Linked DNA regions of Lepisosteus oculatus. The protein of the gene in region 1 purifies or fractionates together with the protein of each later gene. This does not show direct contact. Links are inferred from orthologs where the notes say so. Each region holds a gene or a part of one and is shown on either strand. Other genes may lie near its edges.

What was found.
Region 2: the proteins of vapb (region 1) and acbd5a purify together in Homo sapiens (affinity purification with mass spectrometry; 4 studies listed by BioGRID and IntAct, counting the BioPlex papers as one, with this or other methods). This does not show direct contact. The link is inferred for Lepisosteus oculatus from reciprocal best matches to the Homo sapiens genes VAPB and ACBD5.
Region 3: the proteins of vapb (region 1) and vps13a purify together in Homo sapiens (affinity purification with mass spectrometry; 3 studies listed by BioGRID and IntAct, counting the BioPlex papers as one, with this or other methods). This does not show direct contact. The link is inferred for Lepisosteus oculatus from reciprocal best matches to the Homo sapiens genes VAPB and VPS13A.
Region 4: the proteins of vapb (region 1) and vps13c purify together in Homo sapiens (co-immunoprecipitation; 3 studies listed by BioGRID and IntAct, counting the BioPlex papers as one, with this or other methods). This does not show direct contact. The link is inferred for Lepisosteus oculatus from reciprocal best matches to the Homo sapiens genes VAPB and VPS13C.

What each region holds. Positions count from the first base shown.
Region 1 is NC_090711.1:1,779,160-1,786,353, reverse strand, and holds the start of vapb (vesicle-associated membrane protein-associated protein B/C), read right to left. Parts: upstream 3,020-7,194; 5' UTR 2,907-3,019; coding exon 2,849-2,906; intron 1-2,848. UniProt on the Homo sapiens protein: Endoplasmic reticulum (ER)-anchored protein that mediates the formation of contact sites between the ER and endosomes via interaction with FFAT motif-containing proteins such as STARD3 or WDR44.
Region 2 is NC_090701.1:40,793,995-40,801,226, forward strand, and holds the start of acbd5a (acyl-CoA-binding domain-containing protein 5A), read right to left. Parts: upstream 3,004-7,232; 5' UTR 2,972-3,003; coding exon 2,923-2,971; exon of another isoform or gene 2,734-2,922; intron 2,357-2,733; exon of another isoform or gene 2,265-2,356; intron 2,215-2,264; exon of another isoform or gene 2,196-2,214; intron 1,828-2,195; coding exon 1,741-1,827; intron 1-1,740. Other genes in the region: abi1a (abl interactor 1a), read left to right, coding at 3,196-3,312. UniProt on the Homo sapiens protein: Acyl-CoA binding protein which acts as the peroxisome receptor for pexophagy but is dispensable for aggrephagy and nonselective autophagy. Binds medium- and long-chain acyl-CoA esters.
Region 3 is NC_090698.1:59,497,091-59,504,540, reverse strand, and holds the start of vps13a (intermembrane lipid transfer protein VPS13A), read right to left. Parts: upstream 3,001-7,450; 5' UTR 2,906-3,000; coding exon 2,806-2,905; intron 1-2,805. Other genes in the region: C2 calcium-dependent domain-containing protein 4C, read right to left, coding at 6,379-7,450. UniProt on the Homo sapiens protein: Mediates the transfer of lipids between membranes at organelle contact sites. Binds phospholipids. Required for the formation or stabilization of ER-mitochondria contact sites which enable transfer of lipids between the ER and mitochondria.
Region 4 is NC_090700.1:57,745,236-57,752,967, reverse strand, and holds the start of vps13c (intermembrane lipid transfer protein VPS13C), read right to left. Parts: upstream 3,016-7,732; 5' UTR 2,839-3,015; coding exon 2,739-2,838; intron 1-2,738. Other genes in the region: c2cd4a (C2 calcium-dependent domain-containing protein 4A), read right to left, coding at 4,877-6,217. UniProt on the Homo sapiens protein: Mediates the transfer of lipids between membranes at organelle contact sites. Necessary for proper mitochondrial function and maintenance of mitochondrial transmembrane potential.

The DNA.
Region 1 (7,194 bases):
GAAAGATCCTGTTGCTGTAGTTAAAAGCAGTACTGCAAGATTCATACCAAGAACCACACATTTACAAGAAAGGAAAAGAAACAGGAAAGCTTCTGACTGTTTCTTTGGCTCTTGTGCACCTGAATTAGTGAAATGATGGACAGGGCCAAAGGCAGGAACTCACCTGGATGGCAGTGAGTGGTGTTAAGAAGTGTGAGTGAGACTGCGTACCCCGAAATGCCACACTAGCATCAAAGGGCTTTTCTTGTATTTGCACAGCTTAACTTTATTACTTAAAAACTCCTTGGAACACCCTGAACCACTGGAAGCACCAAAGACATTTTTCTAGATTCCCACCTAATTACATTTAATTGTCTGCAAAATATTTCCGATAAAAGCTGTCCTTGAAAACAAGGCAGATCTTTCAAGTGGCTCTCTGGAGGAAATTCTATGGAGCTCTCTCGGGAGAGAGTTCACCAATGCAGGGCCTGTGCCAAATATTAGCAGCGCAGTTCCATTCAGGAAAAAATGCTCTGACCTGGACTGGCTAATCGCTGGAGGAGCTCTCATCTCCACTATGTCAACAGAAGAAGAAAACCACAAGAAACTGCTTGGCAACAGCCTTGAAAAATAGCCCCCCAAAAGTTTTCAGTCGCACAAAAGAAAACCACAAAAAGAAGCCTGTCTGAAGGACACAGATGATAAATCAATGACTCAGAATGGAGGGAAAAAAAAAGATTTAGGAGCTGGATGGTAAACTATCTTTCCATTTTCAGATCAGAAGGGCCTGAAAGTATTCTCTGCCGAAGGGTGAGAGCAGTAGCCACCCCACAGGGCAAAGGGCACTAAAAACAGGGAGCAGAGAGAGCCGTGCTGGCAAGATCAGAAAGTGGGCGCAGTGCAACAGAGCAGTATAAACGGGTTTCAACACCAACATTCGGCATTCCTCCTTTATTCAGACACGAACGCTAACTTCTGCCAAAAACCTAGGAAGGTCGGACAAAAAATTGATTTTATTTTTTTACAGTTGTGTTACAATTAATTGTGATGAGTCCCAGAGGGACTCAATCGTCTAAAAAAAAATGTTCACCGTCACCGAGCCACACAGGTGTGAGAAAAATAAATGCAGATCTGAATGGATTAAGATAAAGGTTTATTTGCTTTGGAGGCTGAAGCTTAATGCACATATAAAATGCTGCAGGCCTACACTCTAAAACACAGTCTTACAAAGCCACGCAGACAAAATAAAATACCCACGGTCTGACACACGCAAGCAGGCAGCGACTGAGGGGGCACTTCTTGACCCAGAGGCTGATGGGAGAGCAGAACAAGCTGCCCACCCACCCAAGCGTGCCATTAAAGATGACACCCCGGGCTCTTCCAAGAAATGGCTGGGTGACCCGACTGGTTCTGGTCTCATTTGGAAGCGCTGTTATTTTCATGTCACACGATGATCGGATGGCCCGAAGGAGCAGAAGGGAGGTCAGCAAGACGGCATGTTACCATGGAATTTAGAGGTCCAAGTTTTTATTTTTCCCCGGGAAGATCCAGGTTTTTACACGGTGTGTGTCTGTATATGGAAGAGCACACCTGTACAGCAACACATTTTTACCTTCAAGGAATTATATACCATCACATCCGCAGCGGGTGCAGGGTGCAAGTGAGGCCACCAGACATTCCCAGCTAGTGGACTGTCCAGAGGCTGCGACATGGGCCCGGTCACTCAGGACTCCCCGGGATGACACAGCCTGTCCACGAGCCACCTCCCTTTGCGTTCTGACAGGGCTGTTGACCCAGCTCACGCCAAGACATCCTGGCCTCTGCCACTGTATGGGCTGGTCACCACCGAGCACGTGTGGGACATCCTATTCACTGCCCTGGGCAAAACCACACCGCTAATTCCTCTCCAGTGTCCAGAGTGGGTTGTAATCCCACCAGCCAGGAGTGAGGATCTGATCCACAAGCTGTACCAGCACATTGCTGGCTTTAAAAAGAGGGAGAAACTTACACCAAGAAGAAGTTTATTTACATATGACAGTCACCATTTCAATCTCTGCACAGGAGCATCTGCACGACTGCATCTCTGCAAGTACGCTTGACTGTTGTACGTGCTAAACACCCATCTAAATGCACACAGAGCTGGACTGACATGCTGATCCCTCATAACGTAAGGCTCAGAAGGCTGGTTGTTGTGGCCTAGCCTCTACAGATGACCGCTCCTTTTCGCACAAGCCGGCCGGCCGGCCGGCCGCCCGTCGCAAAACAAGAAAACGCAAACGCCCCCCCCCAAAAAGAAAGAAATCAAACCCACAAACGAGATCAAGCGCTGGAGTGAGGCGGCCTGTACACCGTGTGCAAGAGCCGAGCCGAGCCGGCGGCGCTGCAGCACAGACGGCCGCTTCCCCGGAGACGGGCCGCCGGGCGACAAGGAAGCAGAGGCGCTTGTGATCCCGCTGCAAGACGGTGGGGGGCTGGGGGGGTTCAGGGCAGAGTCATGACCCTAGTCAACCTCTCCGAAAGGGGGGGGGGGACACATACACACACAGCGCCAGATACGACTTCCCTGCCGTGTCCTAACGCCTAGGCCGCGGGACCAAACAGGGTACGCCGAAGGGGAGACGGGGAAGGAAACGCGGGGGGCCTCTGCACAGCCCTGCCTTCCGCGCCGGCGAAAGGCTGCCCGGCGGCACGGCTCCATCTGCGTCTTCCCCGGCGACCGAAGGGCCCACACCAGCCCGCTATGCGCGCCGCCCACCCCCCTTATCTCCTCAACATGGCCGCCGCCTTCAGAGGAGCCCACCGCACACACCGTCGGCTGGAGACGGGCGGGCGGGCGGCTCTGCTCGGGCCCGCCTCTCCTCCTCCTTACCTCGGAATTTCAGTTCGTGCTGCGGCTCTAGAAGGAGGACCTGCTCTTGCCTGGCCATGTCCCGGCGGTTCGGAGCGGTTCGGCGGGCTGTCGGTCCGGGAGCGAGGGGGGTGAACGGTCGCTCGGTTGCGGGGAGCGCGGCTCGAGCTGCTAGCGGCAGTGATGATGCAGCAGGAAGGAGGTGAGAGAGAGGCTGCCGGTGACGTCACGGCCCCTGCATTACCCAGTCGGCGGGGGGGCTCCAACTGGCCCCGGGTGCAAGGTGTGTCTCTCTCTCTCTCTTCCCCCACCTAGGCTACAGCACTGAATAACCGATTCAAAAAATAATGACCAAAAAATATATATATTTTGCATCGGGGGCCCATTGTACAGCTTCAGGGTTAAGAACAGTGTTAACAGCGCACCTGAGCCGCTCCTGTGTTAAGTTGCATGAGCTTCAGGAGTGTTTTACCCATCTTGAGGGAGTACAGAGATGGTTCGATCCGTTTCGGGTTCCTTTGTTTTTGTTTTGTTTTTCCCCCACGAGCTCCCGTTGCACACGTTTTACCGATGCAAAAGAAAAGTACGGGGGTCAGTTTCAGCTGTGCTGTAGCGCAGGGTCCGCGTCGCTCCGCCGGTGGGCGTGGTGCCAGTCTGAAGGGGTGGAAGGTCAGGGCGGCAGGACTCTGGCCTGCTCAGCACAATTCAAAGGGCAGCGTTGAGCGGGGAGGCACATACCTCCAGTACGACATATATAGAGATGGAAGCTGCTGGCTCTCAATCTCACTGATGTCACCGTAACTTTATCCTCCTGCTGCCAGCGAGTAATCGCAGCTCCCCCAGCGGGGGAACATTCCGCAGAAAGATCCCCTGGCCGTCATGTGGAAGAGTTAGGATAAAACATCGACATTTTCAGATCAATTACTTGCATACCTTCTAACCTCTTGGGATTGGGATTTAAAAACTTTAATGCGACGATGGATTTGGACTCATATGGTGATTTTATCAAGTTTTTGTACAGGTATAAATCAAAACTGTGTATGTGTGGGTTGATTAGGGGTGGGGTATACTGATTGTTCGCACTGGTTTGTAATTGACAGTCATTGTTTTGCTGGGTAAAGATCTCTTTGTACATCTGTACCAAATCCGGATTTTAATCTTTTCACAGGCTTCAACAAAAACTTGATCTGATGACTTTGTGGGAAGCATGGACATCTGGTCAGAGGGTACTAAAAGAAAAAAAATCCAATCTGAAACTTTTTTGCATTGGAACAGATGCCACTGACCAGACGTTGTGTTCTTTAATAAATGTTTTTATTAGTAAACAGCTTGACATTTCCCTTTTGCACATTCAGAAATACATAGTAAAGTGATTTCAAGCATTTTTATTTGTACAATCGATATGAAAATATTAAAGCTCAATATGACAAATTATAGATGGAGTATTTTTTGGGTGGTGCCTTTGCAAACAACTCATGGTAAATAATGATATGACTTAGCTCACCTTCCAAAACTGTATTAGGGTATTCACGTATTTATATATACGTTTGCATGGTATCTACATTAAAACATTATATAATTATAAGGGAATTGCTACACTGTCTCAGGACCAGCCCGAGATAAGGAACTTCAAGAGATTTCTTCAACATTGTTTATGTTTATGACTGACAATCTCCTTCACACAAAAAACACTACATATTGCAAAGCAAAAGCATCACATTTCATGCACAGAAGCTAAGCCAATGCGTTACTGCGCCTGATACAAGCGGTTAAATATTCTACAGCAGCTACGATATGAAGGCACCAGACCTGTTAGCATCACTACTGCAAACATGAGCGAAGCACACACGCTGTCGTACCACAGTGCTCGAACAACAGTTCACCGATGCAGAGCCGCCTTGCCCTTCCCAAAGGCAACACGGAAAACGGCACATCCAGGCTCAAATTCCAAAAGAATGAAGACTCGGATGTGCATCTTTTATCATTCCTCAACACACTGCACTGTTTTAACACGCTGATGAAAGGTTTGATCCGTAGCGGAAGGAAGCCTTTTGAAAGCAGGTTGGTTCCGATGGCTAAAAGCTGGTGATCACTGAGGCAGGAGCTCTCCACTCCTTCCCAACGCTTAACGATTCCCATACAGCCCCAGCAGAACACACTAGACAGCAGTGCTTTACTGCAAACTTGCTACACCTTACCAACAAAGTAAGCGATGATTCACAGACAACTGGACCAAAAAATAAGGAACCGAGTATCTAAAAAACAGAAGGCTTTGACTTTAAAGCACTTTCCAACACAGCAATATCAAGGGACATCTTTCTGCAGTCAGGCAGAATCACTAACAAACCTTTTAACTAAAGTGGTAACATTTTCACTACAAATGAAGCCTATTTATAACACCAAATTTGTATTCCGCTGAAAAAAAATGTCTCTTTTCCACACCTATATTAAATCTCTTGCTTGCACCTTTAAATTTTTAAAATGTAGCACTTCAGAAAGCTCAGCCGAAAGAAGATAACTGTTCATGGAGCAATTAAAATCATTATAATATTTCGCTCCTCAGTGTGCGTGCCCTGGTGTGACTGAATAAATAACCAGTCTGAAATCCACAAATAATTTAAGCAGAGAAGCATTTTTGACTGAAAGCTGATGTACCGTACAGGGAAGACTGACTCTCACTGGACTAGTTTGTACTTAAATCAGACCTTGCTCTGGGTTTGGATCAAAGTCCTGCTGTTGAGCCAGTGTCTTAAAGATGTGGCTCTAATGTGCTGCTGATAAAAAAAAGCAGCACTCCTTGGAATCCTGCTTGGAGTCAACTGCATTACCTTTGGAGACCTCTCATCTTCACCATGGCTCATTAAAACACATCTCTACACTGCCTCATCAGGAACAATCTGCACTGCTGAGGCGCTCAAAGGTCTACAGGGTGGCAAAGCATGAATGCAAGATATCACTGCACACTCACGACTTTAAAATAAAGCTTTACACAAAATCACAAAGTGCGAAACCAAAAGCCACAGACTGCCGCTCAAAAAGCATAGGTGGCTTATGTCCAGACATTAAAAATGACTTACAGCTTCACTAAAGAGTCCCTTTAAAAAATGGGTTGGTCCATCTGTGTGCAACATGCAAATAAAAAAGTCACATAAAAAACACATTTAAACAATCTGAAACTCTACTGGGTAGTTTTCTTTCCTGAAAAGACAGTAGAGGCTGGAGGCACACACTTCTCTTCAGGAGCACAAGGGCCTGTCATACTGCCTACACATGCTTGTCTGAACCACTGAGCCAAAACATGAGCTCCTTTCTGGTTTCTGCCTGTAAATAAAATAAAATTGCATTGACAAAAAAGAAGAAGTTGAAGCAGTGTCTAACATCAGCTCCACACGAGGTATGGCTACTGCGCTTCAATGCAGTTTCAGTTTCTGTGAGAAATGTATACAGGTGGAAACAGTGGTGGTTTGGGTTGCTTTAGTGTTAAAATTAATAACCTGATTACTATGTCAGATCCAATTGATAACATTTCCCGTTCAAACAGCATTCGGCATCTAAGGAAACGCATTATATTGAAAATCGATAGATATTCAATTACTCTCCCTTTGCTCTCATTAACAGAGCAACAACAACAATAAAAGCCATTCAGCAAAAGTAGGCCAGAAGAAAAGATCAAACAGCTCAGCTGAAAGGTGGAGGTCAGATGGAGGTCATACTTTCCCAGACTGCATTGTTGACCAAAGATGCATGATTTAAGGCAAGAATGACTCCACCACTGAAAAACATGTGAGCGTTTTTGTGGATCAATTCTTTAATTTCCACTTTCCAAGTAAAAGCTGTCCTCTGTCCCCACTTGCTGCAGAGCAACAATAACATCTCTTAAAACTAACCTTGCTTGAGAAATGCCCAGAAGACATTTCTTTTATCCTATTTAAGTGATTACAAAACCAATTAAGAAGCACCACACAGCATCATAAACAAGATCATTGTGTTACAGGGCTCTTGCGCTTGTATTTTCTTATTTTGAATGGGTTTTTTTTTTTGCTGAAAAGATGAAAATCCAGTTTTGCTGCAGAGCTTCTCACAGATATGGAGGGTTATAAATGCAGGGCTTTTTCCGTTAATATTCTCTAGCATGTCCTAATCTGTAATAATCAAAAGCTTGTTTCACAAGAAAACAGTGCAATAGCTCAGTGCTAAACTTCATCAAACAGCCATTGGCCTAGGTATGAAAACCACCTCAACAACAACAAAGCGAAAGGCATCTCCTTAGGGATAAGAGCTCCGGCACTTGGATACAGGGAACACTACAGGAAGAGCTGTAGGAAGAGCTGGGATAGACACGCCACTGGTTTAAAAAAAGTAACCAG
Region 2 (7,232 bases), on another chromosome or scaffold:
TTATAGAAAGCCTACTGAATTCTGTGTAAACAAAACTGAAGATTAGTCATTAAAGATAAAGTGCATCCTGTGAAGTGTAAGATGGTCATCACATATAAGTAGATAAGAGACTTATCTTTTGACTGAGCAATACTGCTAACACACATGAAGAAGACCGTATGGACCAGTGATTGAAACCCGATGGACTTTTAAAGGGTGTGCAACAAACTATCTTATTATTAACAGAAGTAGTATATTCACTCTGTAGTTGTGTAAGTAATAGCAACATCATATGAGAGATTTTATAAACAACATGAATCCTAAATGCAACTTTTTGGAAGTATACAGTGATTCACCATATCAAACGCTGTAGATAAAACAATCGAGAAGGCTGCAGAAATGTGATTTTGATCCAACGTGATTATAATATCCTTGAGAACCTTTAAGATGGCAATCACACCCTGAAAGAAAACAGGCTGTGTATCTGCTAAAAGAAAACTGTCTAAAAAGAGCTGAACTGTTTGCGAGCAATTTTTCACATGTTCTTAGAAAGGCAGGGAAAAGTGAATACAGATCTACAGCAGTCAAGAGTCTGATTTAACAGCCTCTTCAAAACAGAGACAGAACAAGGGACTATTCTGAGTCTGTTAGGATTACAAGGAGTTGGAATAAATGAAACAGCAGAGTAGATATTAAATGAGTGTCTAATTTGATCAGAACTGGTTCAATACCCTTGTGATCAGAGGTCTTATCACTGTCAGTCTTCCAAGTTCAGTTTGTATTGACTCAGTAACTTGCTGCATAATAAAAATGAAGGGACTCTGGAACTTGACCACAACAGATTCAACCAAATCAGCCTTGTTGTTAAAAATTGACCTAGAAAACACGCAACCATATCAGTATAAATGAGATGTTCAGTGACTGAATTAAATGTGTTTTTCGTTGTCATAACAGTATTTTGGCAGTACCTAAATTGACTTATCCTTCATAATTTTAATTAACTTCCAAAGCTTTGTGTAAGAGGTCTAAGAATATATTATTGTAATGTTTTAGAGCTTTTACTAGCTTTTGTGGACTTTTGTCTAACTTGCAGGAAAGATAATAGTTATTTTCTGAAGAGGCCCTGGCATTGAACACTCTCGCACAGGGATAGGCCAGGGGCTCTCGCGATTTTGTTACTCAAATCAGCATCACGAGTGGTGAAATGTGATAATGTTGTTGATTATATTGCTAAAACAATCTTTGAAAAGATAACCAATCGTCTTCTACCGATGGGATGAAACACATGGTGTTCCAGTTCATTAAAACGAAATTGAATAGATATATATAAAACTGTATCCACCAAATTACCACGTTTACTGCATGGAACCCCAGCTAAAGCCAAGACAATGTTATCGAGCAGCAAAGACAGGGGCACTGCAATATAATATTTGGGAGAAAGATCCAATTTGAGTAGAAAGTTCCTCTGAACAGGTAGCTGCATCCACTGCCTTTCAAATGAAATGCTTACAAGACAGGAATGGGTCAACACAGTAACCTATTGTAATTTCAGCACCCAAACAAAGGACCCGTTACTACTTGTTTACAGTAAACTTCAGTTTACTTCATCTATAATGCCTTAAATGAAAGATAGATTTTCATTTCCGCAGACACACGGCTACCAACAAAAACTAACACGAAGTCCTGCTGGATCAAGGTGCTATTATCCAGAAGTAATTTGCAGGTAGTCTCGTGTAATAAAGCAGAAATCGAAGCACTTACCATTTTGCGGTAAACTCTGAATTACTTTCACTGCAGCATCAAATCGTTGCTCGTGGATTGGTTTTTCATCCGCCATTATGACAGAGGCTGCAAAAGAGTCAGCGACAAATCTTTAAACCTGGGGATTACAAATATGAACTGGAGCAGCTCACCAGCTGCATATAAGATTAAAGTGTACTTTTGAGTACCGACAGTCTTCAGAAAAGAACGACGTATTTGTTAAACGGTTTTATAACTAAATTGAATAATTACATGGTTAGTTACTGCACTGATCAACTCAACATTTCAAAGTTTCATTGAGCTTTTAAAAAGGAGAATTAAATATTAATCACTCGGCACACAGACGTAAACAGTATTTGCCGAACAGGTCATTCCTCTCGTGACATAGGGCTAAATTGTTACAAGAGTTCAAAATTACAAAGAACAAATTTGCACAGACTTAGCTACGTCCACACCTCAAAATTCGTATACCTGTCATACCCTTGTATATTAAATAGTTAAAATACTAGATAAACATGATGTACCTACTGTAAATACGTTGACTTCTCAAATACGTCTCTAAATAGGAACCAACACAAATCTGACATTAGCGCTACGTCCAGGGGATTTGTAGTTTTTTAAGGCCACGGGCGAGTGTACCAGAAAACAGAGTTCAGTCAAATTGACTACAAAAACCACAATGCAGTATTAAATATAGTGTTTTGTGGGAATTGTAGTAATATAGAGGATATTTTAATAAATTAACAGCCTTAATAAAGTATCAAGTCTCAATCTATGCATAATATTTTTACAGAATTGCGTGTGACAGGATTTAAGATTTCTGGAAATGTATTAATTTTCTTACATGCGTCTAAAGAACAATGTATATTTTTTCACGATATTTAGACAAGCATAAAATATCCATCATTTTAAATGCCTGATGAATGTATCAAAATAATTAAAATCAAGCTTAGTTCTAAGAATACACTCTTAGATTACGTATAGCATACATACATATACGAGTCACATCTTTTTCACCGACGTTCAGCGGATAGGAAGAACAGTTCAAATAGTTAAAGACAATTATCACGTTAAAGCAGGGGTGGCGGAAAAGAGAGAATATCTTCTGTCATCTACGCAAAGCGTAAAAGTTAACCGTCTATATCAGCAATGGCTTTCCAGTCTCTCTCAACGTATACATACACGCGCGAAATGTGTCTTTTCCCACACTTGATAGCGACAGTGTCATCATCGAGGTTTCGCTTCAAGACTACAGGTCCCAGCGTGCACCTCTGCGGGTTCCTGCGTCTCCCTGCTGCGGCGGTGCTCGTGTGCGCGAGCCCGGCTGGTGAAAGGTCGCGGTGGCGAAAGCGAGGCCAGGAATCCCACAATACCAGGCGGAGGAGCAGCTTTCTGGGGCAGAGCTTGTGGGTTCGATCAAAGGGAAGGAGAAGAAGAAATGCAGAGAGATGTAAGATGGCAGAGCTGCAGATGTTGTTAGAGGAAGAAATTCCAGCCGGCAAAAGAGCTCTGGTGGAGAGCTACCAGAACCTCACCAGGGTCGCTGATTACTGTGAAAACAATTATGTTCAGGTAAGAAAGGGAAAAAAAAAGAAAGCGATGTAATTCCGAGATGCGAAGTGGATGCCTCGGCTTTTTTTTCTTTCCCCGTGGAAGTGTGGGGAGCCGGAGACAGGAAATGTGAATGTTGCAGCGAAACTCGAAGGGATTAAAACGGGGTTTCAAAATCTTTTCGAAAATACCCCCCCGATGTGGCCCGTCTTTAAAGTTGTCTGCGTTTTTACCGACAGCGGCTCGTCCCTTATCGGCAGGGAAACGGCAGATCTTGTTCCCATTCATTTCCACCGTTTCGCGATCAGTCTGGTTCGCTAGTCCGGAGGGTGTGTCTTTTCCTTATCTTGTTATATTTCGACTGGAGGCTCTTGATTTAAATCCAGGAATGGCTCATTCGCCGACGGGGAAACGCATGTAGAGTTTAAATACGTGTAACGTTTTGGATCTCGTTTGAGAAACTTTTATTTGAGGGAATGGAGGGGCTCACGCGGTCTTCCGTTTTCGATTCTTTTCTGCACTAGTAGCCCGCATTTATCCAGTAAGTAATGCACACAAACTTGAGACGTGAAGTGTAAGATGTTTTTTTTTGTCCAGCTATCCGTAGTTATGTATGGAAAAGAGAACCGCTCTTTTCTGATTAGCGTGACTGTTTACTGTTCAATAGGCTGCTGTGTACAGCCGATCTTCTGGTTTAATACCTTTAGTGCATTAATGTGATGTAAACGCACCCCACGCTGCCAGGTACATTAGGTAATGCTGGTAATCTCCTCCTAAATTGCACCTTATTTGCCGACTCTTGCCCAATCGTTTTTAACACCACGGCGCCGCCGCTTCCTAGTAGCTGAAATTTGCCAATTTATTTTTCAACGTGAAGACTAACGGCGTGACCGCCACACAGGCGTATACAGTATGCGACGAAATCGGACTTCAAAAACTGAAGATTGACGTCTTGTGTATTCCTACGCCCAAATTGTGGTTTGGCATCTCTGGCGAGATGTCTTGGTTCAATAGTGTTATCATTGGGGGGGAAACGAAATGTAAGGTGTTAGTTAGCACGCGTTTTGCCGTTGGGTGTTTGAGGTGCTCCGGTTTTCATCGTCTTGAAGAGTAAACTGCCGATATAGTTCGCCATCAGTTGCGGGAGAACATGCCTTCATATGTGCCAGTGTCAACATGTAACCTGGAAGTAGCCGTGCTCCGTCACTGCTGGGGAAACTTGTGTTTCCAGGACGTGGCTGGCGGACGGCAGCTGCTTGTCCTGCATTCTTGAAATGGTTGAATCTGGCCGCTTGCTGGACGTGCTTTCCTTTCTGTAGCTTCATCAAACAGTTGAAGGTTTATTTCTTGCGTGCTGATAGTTGTCTAAACACGTTCACCTCGAAATATTTAAAGCAACCCTGATCTTAGGTAATGTATGTCGATACTGTATGACTGCTTAAAGCTTGCAAGGGGTATAGTATGAACTTATTCAAAACAGATTTCACAGGTGCACGTCAAAATGTATTCTTCAGTGATTACAGGAGTACTTACGAAATTGAACAACTCATTGGTCCCCTTTATGCACTATACCCGCAGAATATTAGATTTTGCACTGTGAGCCCAGTGTTTTGAGTGATTCTATACGTTTTATGATGGAAACATCTCACTTTGCCTTTTAATGACTGATTTTGATAGACTACCTCCCAGCTATTTTATTGAGAAAATATGAATACGTTAAATAAAGCCTTTAGTTTTAAGCAAAGCCCGTGTTGCCCTTTAACACACTGTGTTACTACTTCACATTAGCTGTTTGTTGTTAGTCGTCTGTGTGCAGTGTGAAAAGTGTCTGGGGGAGAGATTTTCTTAAAGTAACTGAAACCCTCATTTAGTGTCTGATTTTGGCTCCATTTTTTTCTGGTCTGATTTTCAAGGCTTCTGGTCAGTGGATTATAGTCAGCTGGCAGCCTAGCCTTAAATGCAGGTTCTTAAAATACCATTTTGAGGAAAATAAAAAACAGAAGTAGGTTAGGTTTGTGGTTAAACACTCTTTCATAGTCGGGGCAGTACAATAGATAGATGTCATTATGGATATGGCCAGGATGTTTGATCGCATGAACTGCAAAAGTGTTTTGTGGGTTTGATAGCTTACAAGCCTTTAAGGTGTGTCTGTCACAAGGCCAAAGGCCACTTCAGAGAAATATTTGACTTCCTGCTATTGACTAACTCTTGAATGGATTTGGGATTAATTTGTTCAGCACCAGACTTTTCCTTTTCTCCTTTGTGGGCCCATTTAAATGAAAATTTGCTTCTTTGAACTAAGGTGACGAGCGATGCAGCGACATCTTTATCCAGCGTCTGTCAGGGAAGCACGCGCATGTTCTCCAAATGAAAGGATTGATAATGGTCAAGGGTTTTCCTGTGCAGTTTAAAACGCAAGACACCTGATCTGTTCTATTGACATTCCAACTTTGCCTCTGCCATCAATAGGCCCTTTGTGCCCGCGAGATTACAGACAAGACAGTCCAAGATTTTCGACTGTTTTGTTTTAGCGAGGAAAGGCAAGTGTTGCCACATACAGCCGAATACCTAGATGGGCAGAATTAGTAAGGAAATGCAATGAGAAGGTTTTGGAGGCTTAATAACGCACCGTTTGGCAGGCATGCTGTTTTTGTTTGTGAAAACTCCGTAGATGTGACTAATTGGTGTAGCTGTTTGTGGGGTTTTCGAGGTAGTGTTTCTGAACTCTTAACCACAAGTCCAAGGCGTGGCTGTGTTCTGTCGAGAACTGCCTAAGTGAACAGTCCTCGCTGAGCAAGTGGCTCACCGTGTTTCCCACCCACTGATACGTACTGCCGAGTGTGATCTCTAGATCATCTGTACTAGCAATGCAGATTTTTCTCTCTTTAAAAAAAAAAGGCTTTATTTTTTCAGCCAAGCCCGAACCTGCGGTGAAGCTTGAGATGCGCTGCCTTTTTTTTTAAAGCGGTAGAAATGTTTCTTTTGAAGTAGCGGGAGGCTGTCGAACCCGAAAGAGCCTTAATGTAGCGGACGGCTGAAAGGCAGCAAGGTGATCATCGCTCAGCCAGTTGTGCGACTTCTCCTCCTCCCCCACCCCCCCTCGAGGCCGAGCGCTGGTTTCGGAACAGCTCAGAAGTTTGCAGGCCCTCTGCCCGGAGCTGATCTGCTGCTTGGTGATCTGCACTGCCGGCCATGCCTGTGAGCTCCTCTCACTCGAAACTGTGACCAGCCCGGGGCAGGCCTGCTGCGCTCCGCAAGCAGACATGCTGCTGCTTGCAGAACCTTACTGAGCATATTTTCCCTCCTCTGAGGTATCGAAGACAAATGGTTTCGCGGCCGCATAACCAGACAAGCCGCAACAGATGGAGGGAGCTGGTCCACGTAGTCAGTAACGAGGACAGCGATTGTCCCACTTGAATGCTTGAGAATCTCACCAGGCGTGAGACCGGTCATTGCTGTTTCCTTGAGCCTGGCAGACGAGAGTTTTTTTTTTTTTTTACTCTATAGGGAGATTGTTGATGAACATCCTATTTCTGCCACAGTGAATTTTATGGCAGCGCTTTCTGTCTAGATAACCAACCTGTCTAGCGATGATGTTGGCACGAGAGCAAAAATGTTCTCTCTGCTGAGCCGGGAGAATTTCGTTCAGCCGTTTGTGATTTTCGGCGTGCTTGACCAATGCTCTTTAGTGTGTGTGTGTGTGGGATGTAGTCAAACTACCTAAACAAAAATCATATCAAGGACAGACCCGAGAAAGTGTTTTCGTGGAAGATCAGGCAGGTTATAAGGAGTCTGACCCCTTCACCATTCTCCAAGAGAAGCAAAGTCTGACATTTTCTCAATGCAGATTCAATTGTTGTCTTTACATGTTTCAATACTTGGTGTTCGTCGCTAATCTTCTGTGTGTAGTGCCATAAGTGTGTCTGGAGGAGAGATTTGGT
Region 3 (7,450 bases), on another chromosome or scaffold:
ACCCACTGCACAGTACTGAATATCCCCCTGCTTCACAGCCCGAGATGGACTCGGGGAGAACAGGCACAGGAACCTGGAGAGCTGTAATTCTAAATAAAGAGGGTAGCTGTACACGTTAGGCTCTGTTGCAAATGCTTTAATTCTGCAAGGCATGATGGCAGATTTCTTAAAATGATAATTGTTCATGTAGTTTAAAATAATACGTAAAAGCTTAACAAACAACAGTGTTAATTCAGTGCAGCACAACACTTTGCCCTGTTAAAAATCAGTGAAAATACAAACATTATTTAACTGCTATACAAAATATGTCCATACAGTATGTACTGTATAAACACTTAACCAGCTGGCAAAATGTGGTCACTAAAAGGAAAATAATTTTAGCTATACATATGTTAAAATTACAGGTTTAAAAAACTAAGAAAAACAATTTTCTGCTGTAGATCTCTTGGAGTATTACCATTTATGAAAGGTACAGTACTTATGCATTTGCAATGAAATACCGTCTAACTGTTTCATAGAGCCTACTCACAATGAAAGATCAATTCTGTTCAAAAGCGAGATGTACAGACTCCATTTCGCACTTTTTGAATTATATACCAGAGTAAACAACTGGGGTTATCAGACACAGTACCCACAAATAGTAATTCACACCACAGTGTATTCAGCAAATATTTTGCTAATTTGAATTTGTATTGGTTAATTCTTCTCCAAAGCAGAAGGAACCACTTAAGAAAACTGACTGAAGCTGTCCTGTTATAAAATACTTCATCTAAATAACATCAGCATTTCACAGTAGGGTAGATTTAATGCACCAGCATGGTTTCTTAGCCCTGTGCTAGATGAATCAATTAATGTACTTGAAACTGGTGTGCTATAAATGCACACCGCCAAGCTGATTCCATTGAAATCTCTTGGCTTTAGGCCTCTTTAATGCAGCCTGATAGGATTTCAGAGTCTCCTTGTAGGTATACTTGAGCACGGTCTGCCTACAGAACGCAGTTAGCTGTTTAGAGCAGCAACATTAAATTGTAAAGGTTTCTACATAAAAACAGCTTGTTAATTATTCAACAATGCAAGCACTGTGACATGTTCACAAAGCACCATGTATTAAAACAAGCAGCACAACTTAAAACAAGAGTCTATCCTATATGGACCAGCTGGGAGGCAAATATTAAGACATTAAATAACAAGTTAACAGTTAATACAAAAAGTTGACTAATCACTCTCTTTTATAACAGCTTTCCAGCACAGCATAATACACCAAACATCTTAACTGTCATAAAAAAAATCAACCTATAAGAAGAATACCAATTAAACAGGAACAGTGCTGTTGTTTCTCCATTCTGGTTCATACAGGACACAGGGAAGTGGATGTGCAGTACTCATGTTGATAATGTTCGCACACTTTCTGTTTTACTTATCTTGGTAAAAATCTATCCATCTCTCTCAATTTACGTTTCCTACAGCTGCGGATAATGCCACACAAACGGCCTCTGTGGTGTGTCCATTTCTCAAGCCTGTTTACTACATAACAACAGGATAATTGTTTAATATAGGATATTAAACAGGACAAGTTTTTTCTTTCATTACACCAAGACAAATCTTCAAAAACTCTCTACCTGATATTTCACCTTTTCTCTAAACAAAGAACGTCCCTCAATGCCAACAAAACATGTGAAGGCACGCATCTTTGCGTTCACAGATCAAGGACATTTTTCCAAATGCACATATTGTTTCACACGTCTATTTTAAAGAGAGTGTGCAATGTTTAACCACAGACAAAGTAATTAATAGCACAACTGCTAAGACCATTGTTATAATAACACACATAGTAATCTTAAAAAGATCAAGTTTAACATCACTCCGACTACTACCACTACTATAAGGCTGGAACTACATACAGAATGTAGCGATGGGCATACAATAACGTCAGTTACTCTGTGGCTGTTATCCGTAAAAACAGGGATTATGTACAGTCAGTTTCACAATGTGAAGTAGCTTAAGTAACACAGGAGGATACCGCACTGTAAGGGTGCGGTTATAGCATGCAGAATGACCCACTCCCAGTATATCCCCGATATATTTAGGATGGACAGTCGAAGAACACCAGCCAGGAATGCAAACCTAACTAGCCTAACCATTCACTGACGAAATAGGCGAGGGAAGTGTAAAGTAACATGTTAACCTTAATAAAAAACAGAAGCCAAAGGCTCGGACGGTGACTTGGCGTCTTTTCCTCCCGTGCACGTTACAGTACTATACCTCGCTCAACACCCGGGCCACCAGAGCAATTAATTTCCAGTGACCTTAACTCCCCGGGCCGGGTGAGGAAAACGCCGCTTCAAAGTCGTGATCTCAAACACATCTTCGCATTACAAGACAAGACGCTCGGACTCTGATTTTATTTTCACCTCCACTAACAAAATGTATCCTGTGAACCTTCATTTAAATAGTAAAGAGCTGGAAAGGCTACAGTAGATGTATTTTGTAGACACTGCTATCATTATAATACGGTCTGCCGTAAACAGGCGTGCCCAATGTTAACTAGTGATGATGACGGCAAGAATGCATACCGATTTAAAAGGATCTATGGAAGATATTTCACACTGTGATCGTCTGAAATTAACAGTTAAAATACGGGAACAATGGGCACATGCAGAGTGAAACAAACTTAGTAATACAAGTGGCCAACTCGTTAGGCTATACACTGTACTGCGATCGGCGGCAGTGATAATGACAGCTGGCAAGCAGCTATGTCTCTGGAAACGCTGAGGACACAGACGATTACATATCATGTAGTTTTACCTCCCCATATCCCTAGTTTGAGCTGCGAGCTGTCCAGATTCACCACGTAGTCGCCGAGAAACCTGTTCAGCACGTCAACCACCACAGACTCGAACACCATGTTGCTGTCTTCACTCCACAGAAACCATGTTGTCAGCCAACCTCGAAACTATCTAGATTTCCTGAAATAACCACACCGGAACTAGAGAGGAGGTCTTATGCGCGAAGTCGGCACTGAGCATTGAATTGGGCACGCGCGTCCCACATGGCACGCGCGTTCACGGATTAACGAAGTTGACACTGCTGGTGGACTTGGAAGATCCAAACGCCTTGAATTTGGGAAATTAGCCTAAACGTCGCATGAAGAAAATTAAAATGTTCACAGTCTTTAAAAGACTACAATAAATCATTAAATATTTAATACGATGTTTAGTAACGAAACACACATGTCTGGTTATAACGCTCTGTACCCATCAGGATAGTGTGTTTAGGATAATGAAGATATTGCAGCAAAACGATTGCTTTACTGGGAGAAATTAGGGCATATAAATATAAACATAACGGTGCTATCCAATGAGTCAAACACGGTTTTTATTTAATTTATTTTAACTGCTTTTAATGTTTTTTTTTGTTCAGAATAATTCTGAGACGGACACATTCACACCAGGGCCTGTAGGAGGAAACCCTGCAGATAGCACCCCGGGTCTGGATCCTACTGTCACTACATTGCCATCACAACAAAGCACCAGCTGAGAGATATTCAATTCAATTAAAAGGCAAGTTGGAGAACTGTGTTACATTTAAAACCAGAGAACTGAAGTGCGGCGGGATAGTCCTTATATCTCGGCAGTCACAACTCCTCCAGTCAACAGTTTCCATGAAACCCCTCTGCAGGTATCTGTGCCATCCTGGGAATTCACTACTTGCACCCAAATGCCAGCCGTCTGTTTTAAAACCCTGACCTTAAGGTAAGTGGGTATCTTTGTGCAAAACACTTAACCTCATGACAAATGTCTAATATGACTACATGCTCTTTTTGTATTAACCTCAATAAGCAAAAATACCGGTACATTCTCCTTCCACAACAGCACTATTTTCTACTATCTTGTTTTCATATACTATGTTTCAAGGTTGTAAATGATCATAAGAATTTTATCAGCATCTTTCTTTGTTCAAATACATTTGCAAAACAGAGGCAAAATTAAAAGCTTTAGGTCAGGTAACATCCAGTGCATCCAGTGCACATGCTAAATAAACAGAACAGGCAATAATAATGTGGTAGTACAATATATAAGAGCTTTGAAAGGTGGTTGCATCAGAGTGTAAATGACAAATAATTACATGGACCCTTGCAAAGCTCTGTACCAGAGGAACAAAGAAATGTATAGTGTTCAAAGTGCTCTCATTGTGTGGGCAGCAAGTTATCAAAATGGTTTTTAATTAAGAAAATGTGATAGTTCTCAGAAAGGACTCAGATATTTTAGACTCGCAGAGATAAAGAATATAATGTTGGTTTTCAAATGGACTGGAGCTATAAGTTATTTGTCAAGGACCCACCTTTCTTTATTGACTTTCGTCTAGATTCTTGAGGCCACGCAATGTTTGCTTCTCTTTATTGTTTCCGTACTGCTACATGAAGTAACACTGATACAGCATTAGAAGTAAGATGGTCTACCGGGTTTAGTTTTGTCAAGCCTCAATATAATTTGTATTTTACTCCAACACAAATATATTACACCATTGCAACATTTTTTCTTTGGCTTTAGATGATCCATTTTTACCCATGCTTGTAATCTATTATACTCCTTTTCCCTAATTGGCCCTAATTCTTTTTATATAATTTTCTTAACTGCAATCTTTCTGCTGATTTGTCTGAATTAATTTATTAAAGTGATTTTTAAAGCTTTCTAGCCTTTGATAAGGTTACTCTCAGGATCAATTTGTTCTGTGGATCTAGCAAAGTATCTTTAATTTTTAATAATCTGTTCTCTACAAATTTCATGCTTATCCTACTCCATTCTCATTCTCTTAATTTCTGTTTTATTCTTTCACAGTCCGCTCTCCTGAAATGTTTTCAGATTTTCCCAAATAAGATTTTCAAGTCATTTGTTTATTTTTCAAGGATACTATATTAATTTAATTTGCTTATAGAACTCATTGATAACCAATGCCAGTTATCCATTGTCTGCAAAAGTAGCACACAACAGAAAATATCTGTAAATATGATTTTATTCTCCTCTACAATATAATTGAAGTCAGATTCACAGAAGGTTTTGCACACAAGTGTCTGCTTGCTAAATGTACAAAATCACACACAGCACGACACATTTATACATAAGGGAAACATAACTGGGCCGTACAACCATGTTACCAGAAAAAAAAAGAAAAAGTATATTGAGGCAGACAGAATTCTTAACACTTTTACATGTGAAAAGGTGGTAAAAAACTATCTTAAAAATGCTCAAATAAGTATTTGAGCCAGTAGCATTTATTGCATTTCTAATACCTCTCAGTATATACTGTATTTATACGATTTTTTCTTCATTTTTTATGTAGTCAGAAACACATTGTTAAGCACAACTGGCTCTTGATGAGCAGTTTACTTTAGACAGCAATGAGCAAGTAGTCTGCAAAGAAGCAATATAATTAAGTCTGAAAATAGTAAGGAACTCTGCCTGAAAGACAATTGAAGAAAAATAACATAATTGAGCTAGTGGCTTACTTAGCTCGAAGCAGTGCTCATCATACGTTCAGTTCCTTGGTAAAGTCCAGTCTATTACTTGTTTTAACAAAAACTATCTCAAGTGGCAGTAGTGAAGCTGAGGCTGTTTTTAAGTACGACTCAAAAAAGCAGCTGTATAAGAATCCAAGAGTGAAGATTAATACAGTATTAACATGCTTGTTTGTGCTTTAAAAGCTGTTTCTACCAAATGACAACTCGAGAAAAAAATCTTGTCCAGAATCACAAAACACTAAAGAATAATTCTGTGAGAAGTTATTGTCATCTTTTCAACAAATGGTGTTTTGAAAACAAGAACTTGCATGTGTTAAGCCAGCATCTAAGGGATCAATGACACAGAAAAGTTGTAGTTGCTAGTTTCAGAAAATGAATTCTGGTTTATTCCATTTTATTTAATGATGATGAGTAAAATTCAAACATTTGTGGGGATAATAAATATAATTCAGTAAAATATATTTATATTCACCTCTGGTGTGTAAATCAGTCCCTTGTATTTTATCAAAGGGTATACTCAATTTTTTAGTATCAGGTGTACCCACCTAATCTGTATGTCAGTTCCTAAATGAATATAACATACTGTACATAAAGAACAGATTCACATTCAATACATCCCTGGGGAAGGAAATGTTATGTTAAGGAGCTTTAGAACATAATAAATACTCAATAAGGAAGATTCCAAAAGCATAAATACTCTGAAATAGCGTGTAGATGAATCAAAAGCCTTCACACATACTTTAAAATACTAAGAAAATAAAACATCCTCAGAACTGTTACATATGAATTAAAAGGAGTCACGTGTCCTTCTTTTTCATGAATGCTGGACACGTTGTATTGAATATCTGCACATTTTGTTTTCATAAAGGCAATAACTGGGAAAGAGGCTTTGAGATAACACCCAGAAGTGTGTCCCGCTTGAGGCTGAAGGCTTTGTTAATGACCTTAAATTTCAAGGACATACTTTGGAGATCTTCTTCTGTAACCCCATCAAAAAAGAAGTCCTCGTTGAAAATGGGGTTTTTGCTGTTTTTGATTATGGTGCTGTGCTGCTTTTGCTGTTTGCCTGGGACGAGACAGACAATGACACAGCAGTTAATGTGTTTTGCCTCAAAGCTGCAATCATACAGGTTCTCCACTGAAACCACGCGGACTCGGACTGTGGCGCTACTAGAATCATACTCTAATGACAGCCGGATGCAGCCCCTTCCCTGAAGAGGAATGATATGCTCTCTCCGTAGCTTTTCTTGGCAGTGTAACAGGTCAAGGGGAAACAGCACTGGAGGGGAAAGGGAACAACCTGGAGCTTCTGATTTTCCTTCTGATTCAGACTTTTCTGAGGTACATGGACTTGTATCACCAGAGCTACATTCATCAGTAGAAAAGGAGCTGTTCCCTCCCAGAGACTGCTTCGAACTGGATCTGGAAATATCCTTGAGAAAACTCTCTTGCCCAAACAGTTTGAAGAGACAGGTGCCTGAAAATGATCGAGGTAGCACGGGGGTGCTGTGGGGCGAGGATTCATTGGAGGAAGGGGTGTTATTTTCTGTTGTCCCCTGCTTCTTGAGTGAGTGTGTAATATTTGTAGAGCTTGTGTGGCTGCTTGATCTTGGAGCCGCAAACTTTTTGTTGGCTATGTGTTGTTTCCTCTGTAAGGCGTAGCTTGCAAAGTCTGTGTGAAACAAGGACTCTTTTCTGCGTGTGTTAGGACTTTCATATAAGCCTGTCAGACTGAAACATGCTGCTGTGTGAGGTAACAGCACTGATGGAAAAGAAGAAATTAGGTCTCTTTGTTTGCTTTTGTTGGTGTTCTCCATATTGTCCAGAGTGCAGTCGTCTGCTTTCTCTATCTGTATAAAAAGCTGATTAGCCAGCTTCACAAGGTCCTTGCCTTCATTATTTTTGCAGTAACTTTCTGGCTTCACGTGAAAG
Region 4 (7,732 bases), on another chromosome or scaffold:
AACCTATTCTGATAATATTAACTCAGAAATCAAACATTGAGACTGGTATTTTGTTATCCCAAGGGATGAAGCTAATCATACAATCACAAAACCTTTCTGCACGCTATTTAAAAATGACAATAACATTATGCATGTGTCCAATCAACTTCTGAAATAAACCTTTAAAGACTGTTGCATCTTCATTGTGCACAGATGAATAAAACCTTGTACTAGAGGAATAAATATTAACTAACAAGTTAATAGTTGCTTAATTAATGAGGACATTTTAATCTGTGGGCAATCACTATTAGACAATGACAAGGTTAGAATCATGTTAATTTGTAAAGAAAATTGTCCACACAGGTTTCTGGTGTCCATGGTTATTGCTAATCACTGTGAAGGTAGAGAATATAACAAGCTTAATAAAAGCAAAAGACAAGACTTCTCTGAGTTCACCAAGTGCTTTACTTTAAGCAACACTAATAGGGATATTTTGTTTAACTTTTTAGACCAAAACAAAACTGTGGCATTAGCAATTAGAAGATAATGGGTGGGCAGAACCCAAGTTAATGATTTAGACCCGATTTCAACCATGCACAGATTGTGAAAGCAACACAAATAATGATGAGGTAAGAGCTGTTTCAAAAGACATGACCAGTGGAGACCTGGGTGAATTTGTGGTAGATTTTTCTTTCTTCTTTCTTGTTTTACAGAATTGTCTTCAATAATTTAAACCAATTTACAGAATCAGAAAAGGGAATGAAACACATCTTCCCTAAGAAAAGTCAATGACATACTAGACAACATTCTTACTCTTAATGTACTGTACTGTAGCTCTGTCAATGTACAGCATAACAAGACAAACCAGTCTAGTTTATCTAGGGATTTATGCAATACACTGTAGACGTTCTTCCTCTAAAAGCTCCACTGTGCAACATTCATTTTCACTACTGTAGGAGTTAATTAAAAGTACAAGAATTCAGTAGTAGAATAAAGAAAACAGTATACTGTTATACTGTGGTTGACTGAGTCATTTCATTACTGAAGTGGAGAAAGAAGAATGAAGATACTCAGTACCTGAAGTTAACATTTTTGCCAACAAAATGACTGTTTCAATGGGATTCTTGTAGGAGGTTAATAACTGAGGAGAAATAGCTAGCAACCAACATTTTAAAACTGGCCTCCATGACCGGACCTGAAAATGTTTAAAGAATATCTGTATAATACAATCCATGTGAAGGAAAAGAAGAATAATGATTGTTTTACCACTGTCTAGTTATACGTCATTATCCATGACACTGAAACACCCATGAACATCAGCAATGTCAGGTGTGTCTCTGCACATTAATGTGCTTGAAACGGAGTTACTGTCTCACAGGGAAACGGGTCACAATTTTGGGCACCTTTTTATTGTGGCAGAACATGGCAAAAGGCAATTTTAGAAACACGTGCTTGGCTTCCAAGAATTAAGCTCCTCCCATGAAACTACTCTACTCAGGCCTTTCTAAAGCCTTGAGAAACAAATGCAACACTAGAGTCCATCCCCAAACATATATTATTCAACTGAATGCCATTCTATTGTATTAGACAAAGAATAACAGATGACAAATATTTTATGGACAATGTCACAAAATACTGTCTTGATAGATATTTCAGACACTACAACATCGTATGAATGGTCTTAAAATTTTGCCTTTTGCCATCTTTTATATACTGTACATTAAGTACATCGATATATCCAAACTTCTTTAGGAAAAAGCAGAAAAACTAAGTCTAGAAATACTGCCCAGTTATCCACCTGGTTATATTGGCTGCTATTAAATCCTATTTGCAGGATTAAACTCTCAAACACATATCATATTGACATCATCTATCATTACGTTTTCTGCACAAAAATAATTCATTAGAAGCTTTGTCTTCATCTCAAACTGGTTTTGTCACATAAGTGAGAGCAAAAAAGAAAATGCTGTCGGCTCCAAAAGAACTGTGGACAATTCCACTCTTCAAAAATAAGTCAAGACAAGATCACTTGCCCTGGAGCAGTTAGGGTTAAGGGCCTTGCTCAGGATTCCTCTGCTGGCCACAGGATTTGAACTGGCAAGCTTCCAGCCACAGGCACAGCCTCTTAGCCACAGTGCCACCACTCCACCCAAGTTATACACCATAAAATGAAGTAAAATGAATTATATTTTAATTAGAAATAAGAGGTTTCTTAATATTTGGATGCCAAAAAACGCAGACCGCCCAGGATATTTCAGTTTCTCATTTAGCATTATTTATAAACAAGTAGAGAAGAGTATTATCAAATCTCACTTGTGGCTTATCTCTCACATGCTAAAGACTCCTTCAGAGGCGTTGATTCTGATTGAGAGGCGACGTTAGCATTCATCAAGACACTGAAAAACACAAACCTTGCTGGGCTCGTACACTGTGTACAGCACCCCCCCTCCCACACACAGCAGTGTAAACATTAATTATGGACGTGTACACAGCTGGGTAACCGTATACTGTACACCTCAAATGCGACAATCAACACATCTGTACTGCGTTGAATAAATCAACATACTGCAAACTTAAGACTTAGGCATTTTCGCTCGTCATGTGATGTGTTTTGTAATACACTCTTGTTCGCTCAGTTGGCTACAACTGTCGAGACTGACATGTTTTGGCCCTGAACCATGAGAGTTACTTTCCTGATTCCGTCTTAATAGCAATAGCTACAAAGCAGTGAAAACGTTAACATGCACGCAGAATCCTACCTCCCCAAATGCCAATCTTCAGCTGAGACTTGTCAAGATTTTCCACATAGTCGCCTATAAACCTGTTTAATAAATCGCTGACCAGAGACTCAAACACCATGGTTAAACAGCGGTGCACCCTGCCTCCGTCTTAAAGAAGCAGCTGTCTCGATGCAGTGTGAGCAGCACAATCCCGTGATGCCTGGCTCATCCCTTTTGTAGTACAAGTGCTAAACCGAAAGGGTAGGATTTTCTGTAATCAACTGGTTTTGCCTGAGCTGTACAGTATACTGGCGGCGGACACCGTCTGCGGATGCAGTCAATCAGTGTGACCGCAGCGGTATTACGGTAATTCAGCCTGCGGGTGCAGTGGTCACCCTGACCTTTGAACCGACTGTCATCGAGCTGTTTGCAAAGGTTTGACAAGTTAAATGAAAACGATTAAGAGTTTTAAGCTAATACATTTATGGCGCTTATAGTCACTGCAATAAGATATCTTAGTGTGAACCCAGGTAAATGAGAAGTAATTAATGACTTAGAAATATTTTAATATATGATGTAATAATATATATTTAAGCAATTAACAGCGAAAGAGCTGGCACTTATCTAAAATTAATCTTTTATCAGATGTGGTTGTTTCGTATATTCAATTCAAGTGTTATGCTGTGATACTTTATGTTCTGTAAATATGTAACCTTGGAAAGAATATCAGTTTAAGAAGAGGAAAATATAACATCCTATACGCTTGATTTCCTGCTTACTTCTTACAATCTTTAAATGTGTGCACTTTATGTTACTCGTCGAAACTACTAAAGTTTGTTAGTAGTTTGTTGAGAAGGCATAGCCGTGTAAATTAATATATACAGTACACCTGAAGACAGTTCTCACTGTAGCTGACTGAATATTCATGCACACCTTTCAGTTGTTCAACGTGTTTACGGCTCTTTTAAAACCGCTGAAGGCTTGCAGAGCTGTTTCTTGGTATACTGTTTCAAAGACATGATCACTTCCATACCGAAAACTGGAACGTGTTTTATAAAAGTGCACCCTCCTGTAGTTCCTGTTCAGTTCGGACACTGGATTTTTAACATCATTAGTGTAATTTTTGCTTCTGCTGAATGCTAATATTTTTACTATGAATACTATTTATTTTAGTTAAAATAATTTGTGGATAGAACTTTTATTTTATTTAGACGGAATTCCAACACACCTACAGGTAACACGTTTACGTTGTTCCAGTGGGAACTTCTACACTACGATCTCCCGATTTTCCATCTCATTGTTTACAGATTGTAAAGGCGACTCTTGATAATCTCTTTCTGATCCTGATGTTAAAATGCTCGTACAGTACTAGTAGAAGAGTGCCTAATGATTCATATCAAATCACTTTCAAAATGTATCAGATTTAAATTAGTATTCAACTAAAACTGGAATACAAGAATTAGGAATATTACTATTCATATATAAAGATTCAAAATTCTGAACACAGTAAGTGTATTCCTCACATCACAATAAAAATACATCACATTTACCTATTTTGTTTACTATTCTACATAACCTTTTTAATTTGTTAAAGAGCTTTTGAAAGCACTGGGATATGTATATCTGGAATTATACCTGTAGGATTTACAGCTGTTACTTGAATGAAACTAAAGCAGTTTCAGTACTTCTTTAAGAAGGAACCCCCTAAATGACTTGCTCTTTACAGAAGAAAGAAATAGATTTGTTTTTACAATTAGTAAATGAATATATGAATCAAGCTTGCCTGCAATAAAGGAGACCTGGATCTCTGAGGGTGCTGATGTTTTCTTTGACAAGGATCAACTTGTGCTGTAGTCAGGTATAATACACAATAGCCTTGTTTAGACTGTATTTTTCTATTTGTAGGTTTACTGTATGTGGCTCACAAACTGTTTAAAGGACAAGGACATAAAGATGAATACAGACATTTATCGTGAAAGTATTTTGTTACTTTGTTTCTAATACAGTAGCTGTTCTGTATCGGTATGAGGAAAAAAGAACCACCCAACACCTGAGCATGTTTTTCAAAATTGCCATTTAATATCAAACCAGCATTTAGCAAAGTATAAAAGTATAAATAAATAACACTTTTTGCTGTATATACATATAAATAGTAAAAAAGGTGTCCTGTAGAATCATTATGCAGGTGAAATGCTGCTCAGAGGGAGCTCACAGTCTCCCAAAACATAATCTCTTTTCATACTTGACATTTTGTTAACAACTTTAAACCTGAGAGACCTGTAAGACAGCTCTTCTTCAGAAATTCCATCAAAGAAAAAGTCCTCGTTGAAAATAGGGTTCCGGCTTTTCCGGATCACAGTGCTGCGCTGCTTCTGGATTTTTCCCGGCAGAAGAGAGATGCTGACACTGCAGTTGATGCTTTTGGGATCCACGGACAAGGCATACAGTCCTTCTGCACTGATCAAGCGCACACGGAGCCTCTGATTCTCTGGGCTATACTCAGCAGAAAGTCTTAGGGTCCCATTTTTCCCCAGGGGTATGAGGCTTTCTTTCATGAATCTATCCCTGTAGTACACTAGGTCCATTGGGAAAATTGCAGGGGGGGTCAAGCCATAGGGACAGGGCATGGGGTCTATCAAGCCCTCAGATGCTCTTCTCAAGATATTTGGGCTGTTGTCTGTTGAACTCCCCTCGTCTGTTGACAAAGAATTGTTCCTGCACACTGTTGATTTCTTCACAGTCCTGGACAGCAGCTTCTCCTGGCTCAGTGCCTTGAACAGAGAGGATTTAGGGGGAGACCTGTTTAACATGGGAGAGCTGAAAGGGGAGGACTCTGTGGATGAAGCAGTGTCACTGTCCAATGTGCCCTGCCTGTTCAAGCTGAAACTTCTGGGGGAGAGCCTGGAAGTTATGGCGTTCAGGCTGAAGGTGGACGAGGAGATTTTTGAGTACGTGCTGGACCTGCCTCTGGGAAGTACCACTGGGATCCCACAGGAGCCGGGATCGTTGTGGAACAAAGACTCTTTTCTCCTGGTGTGTGGGCTTTCAAGCAAGGTGCAAAACCCATAGGAGGTCTGGGCTTTTGCAAGATGGGGCAAGGACAGTGCAGCTTGGGACTGTGGATCAGCATTGGTGCTCTCTTCGTCACTGTATCCATAGTCAAAGGGCATCTCGTCCACACTTTCCACCTGGATCACATGAGTGTTGACCAGTTCTCGGTGCTGGGGAACGTTTCCAGGACTGCCCTTTTCCGAAGAGGAAATCTTAAGGCTGGGAGTGGGTTTGTTCAGTTCAGCAGTCTTGAGGTCCTGCTGGGAGGGGAATTTCGGCGGTATGCAGAACTCGGGGATTCTGTCGGGGGTGATGATATTAGGGCACAGGGAGATCTTTTTGTTTTTCGCAGACGACATCTTATCTCCTCCAAACATGATGTCTCCGATTTTGAAACTGTATTCCGTTATGGGGAGAGACAGGCTTGTTCTTTCCACAGACACGCGGATTTTGTCCATCACCCACATGGGCAAAAGATCAGAGAGAAGAAGCGCACAAATCTGTAAAAGCAGAAGACAACTTGTGAGCATAAGTGCTGATATATAGCTGGCATTCTGACGTGTGTCATATATGAAATTATACAGCTGTCTTGCTGATGTGTAAAAAAAGAATTCACATTATTACAAAAATCTATGATAACATTAAACAATGAATCGGTTTATGTATAAACATAACTTTATGAGCAAAAACCAAGTCTTAAGCTTACCTTCAGAGATTTCAGAAATTCAGCAATGCGTCTTTAAAGACGGGTTTGCTGAAGAATTACCATAAATGGTCCAGTGTTGTCAGAGAGCTTCTCAGCTGCAGGTCTTCCCCCACTTCAGGCTTGCTCAGGTTTCTGGTGTGCTGAGCGCTGCGGGCTGTATAAATAGGGCTGTGATGTCTGGAGCGGCTCCAATCCCATTCAAGCGCACCTCCCATGTGGAAGGAAGGAGCACGCTCTGGAAGGACCCTCCCCCTTTTCCTAGTAGACTGTAGTCATGGAAATGGTGAAACCACAACAGTACTCTTCACGGGCATGAGCATGCCTCATGAAAAAAAAAGGTTAAACAGATAAGCGATGGAGAAGGTAAACTGCTCGTAACAGAATAATCAAAAAGTTTTTCGATACAATGAGAACATTTAATTCGCTTATTTGTTTTTCCATTTTCGTGAATGTGCACACCGGAGTGAGATTATCTGGGTCAAAATGTAAGTGATGTATTAATTCCTCCAGCAGCAGGTTTATAAGAACTAACAGGTACTGGAGGTATATGTACTGTAAGTAAGGTTACAAACATGGGGTGACTATCTGGTTCATCTAGCTCTTTTGATACAGTAGTTCATTCATCAGAGGATCTCATCCAGTCTTTGCTTCCTAGAATCCCGAGTTCTGCCTTCAACAACGTGGCTAGAATAACTTTGTAAAGGTCTTTCAGGATTTTGAATTCTTGGATCAGGGCATGTCATCCAAGTAGTCAAAATCCTATACAGTATGTTTAATGTTGCTGGCTCAGTCATAACTCTCTCATGTTGTGAGCTGCATGACAGTACTGTCAAAGGCCTGCACATGTACCAGCAGGTGAAGACTTTTAATGAGTATCCACAGTAATATATTCTGTTGATCGAGTAGCCTGAACTGTCATTTAAAAAACATCAAATTTTTAAAGTACTTGCCTGCTTTTGTGTGCATCTATGCATGTGTTTTTGTTTGAAGTAAAAACCATGAAGTGTAAAATTACCAAAAAACTTCTACTATTTATGTAGAAATTAGCATTTATGTAACATTCTACTGTGTTATGCACTGTAAGGACAAATTACTGCCTGCAAGTCACTTTGAATATCTACAAAAATATATACTGTATAATGTATGAAATGTGCAACTGTTTTGCATTTATAAATCAGTTCATTTCTATTAATGATCATGCAAAACAATCCTTAATGTACAGTATGCAGTTAAAATGACTTTTCTCTAAATTATTCTTCAGTAGTTGACTCCATAA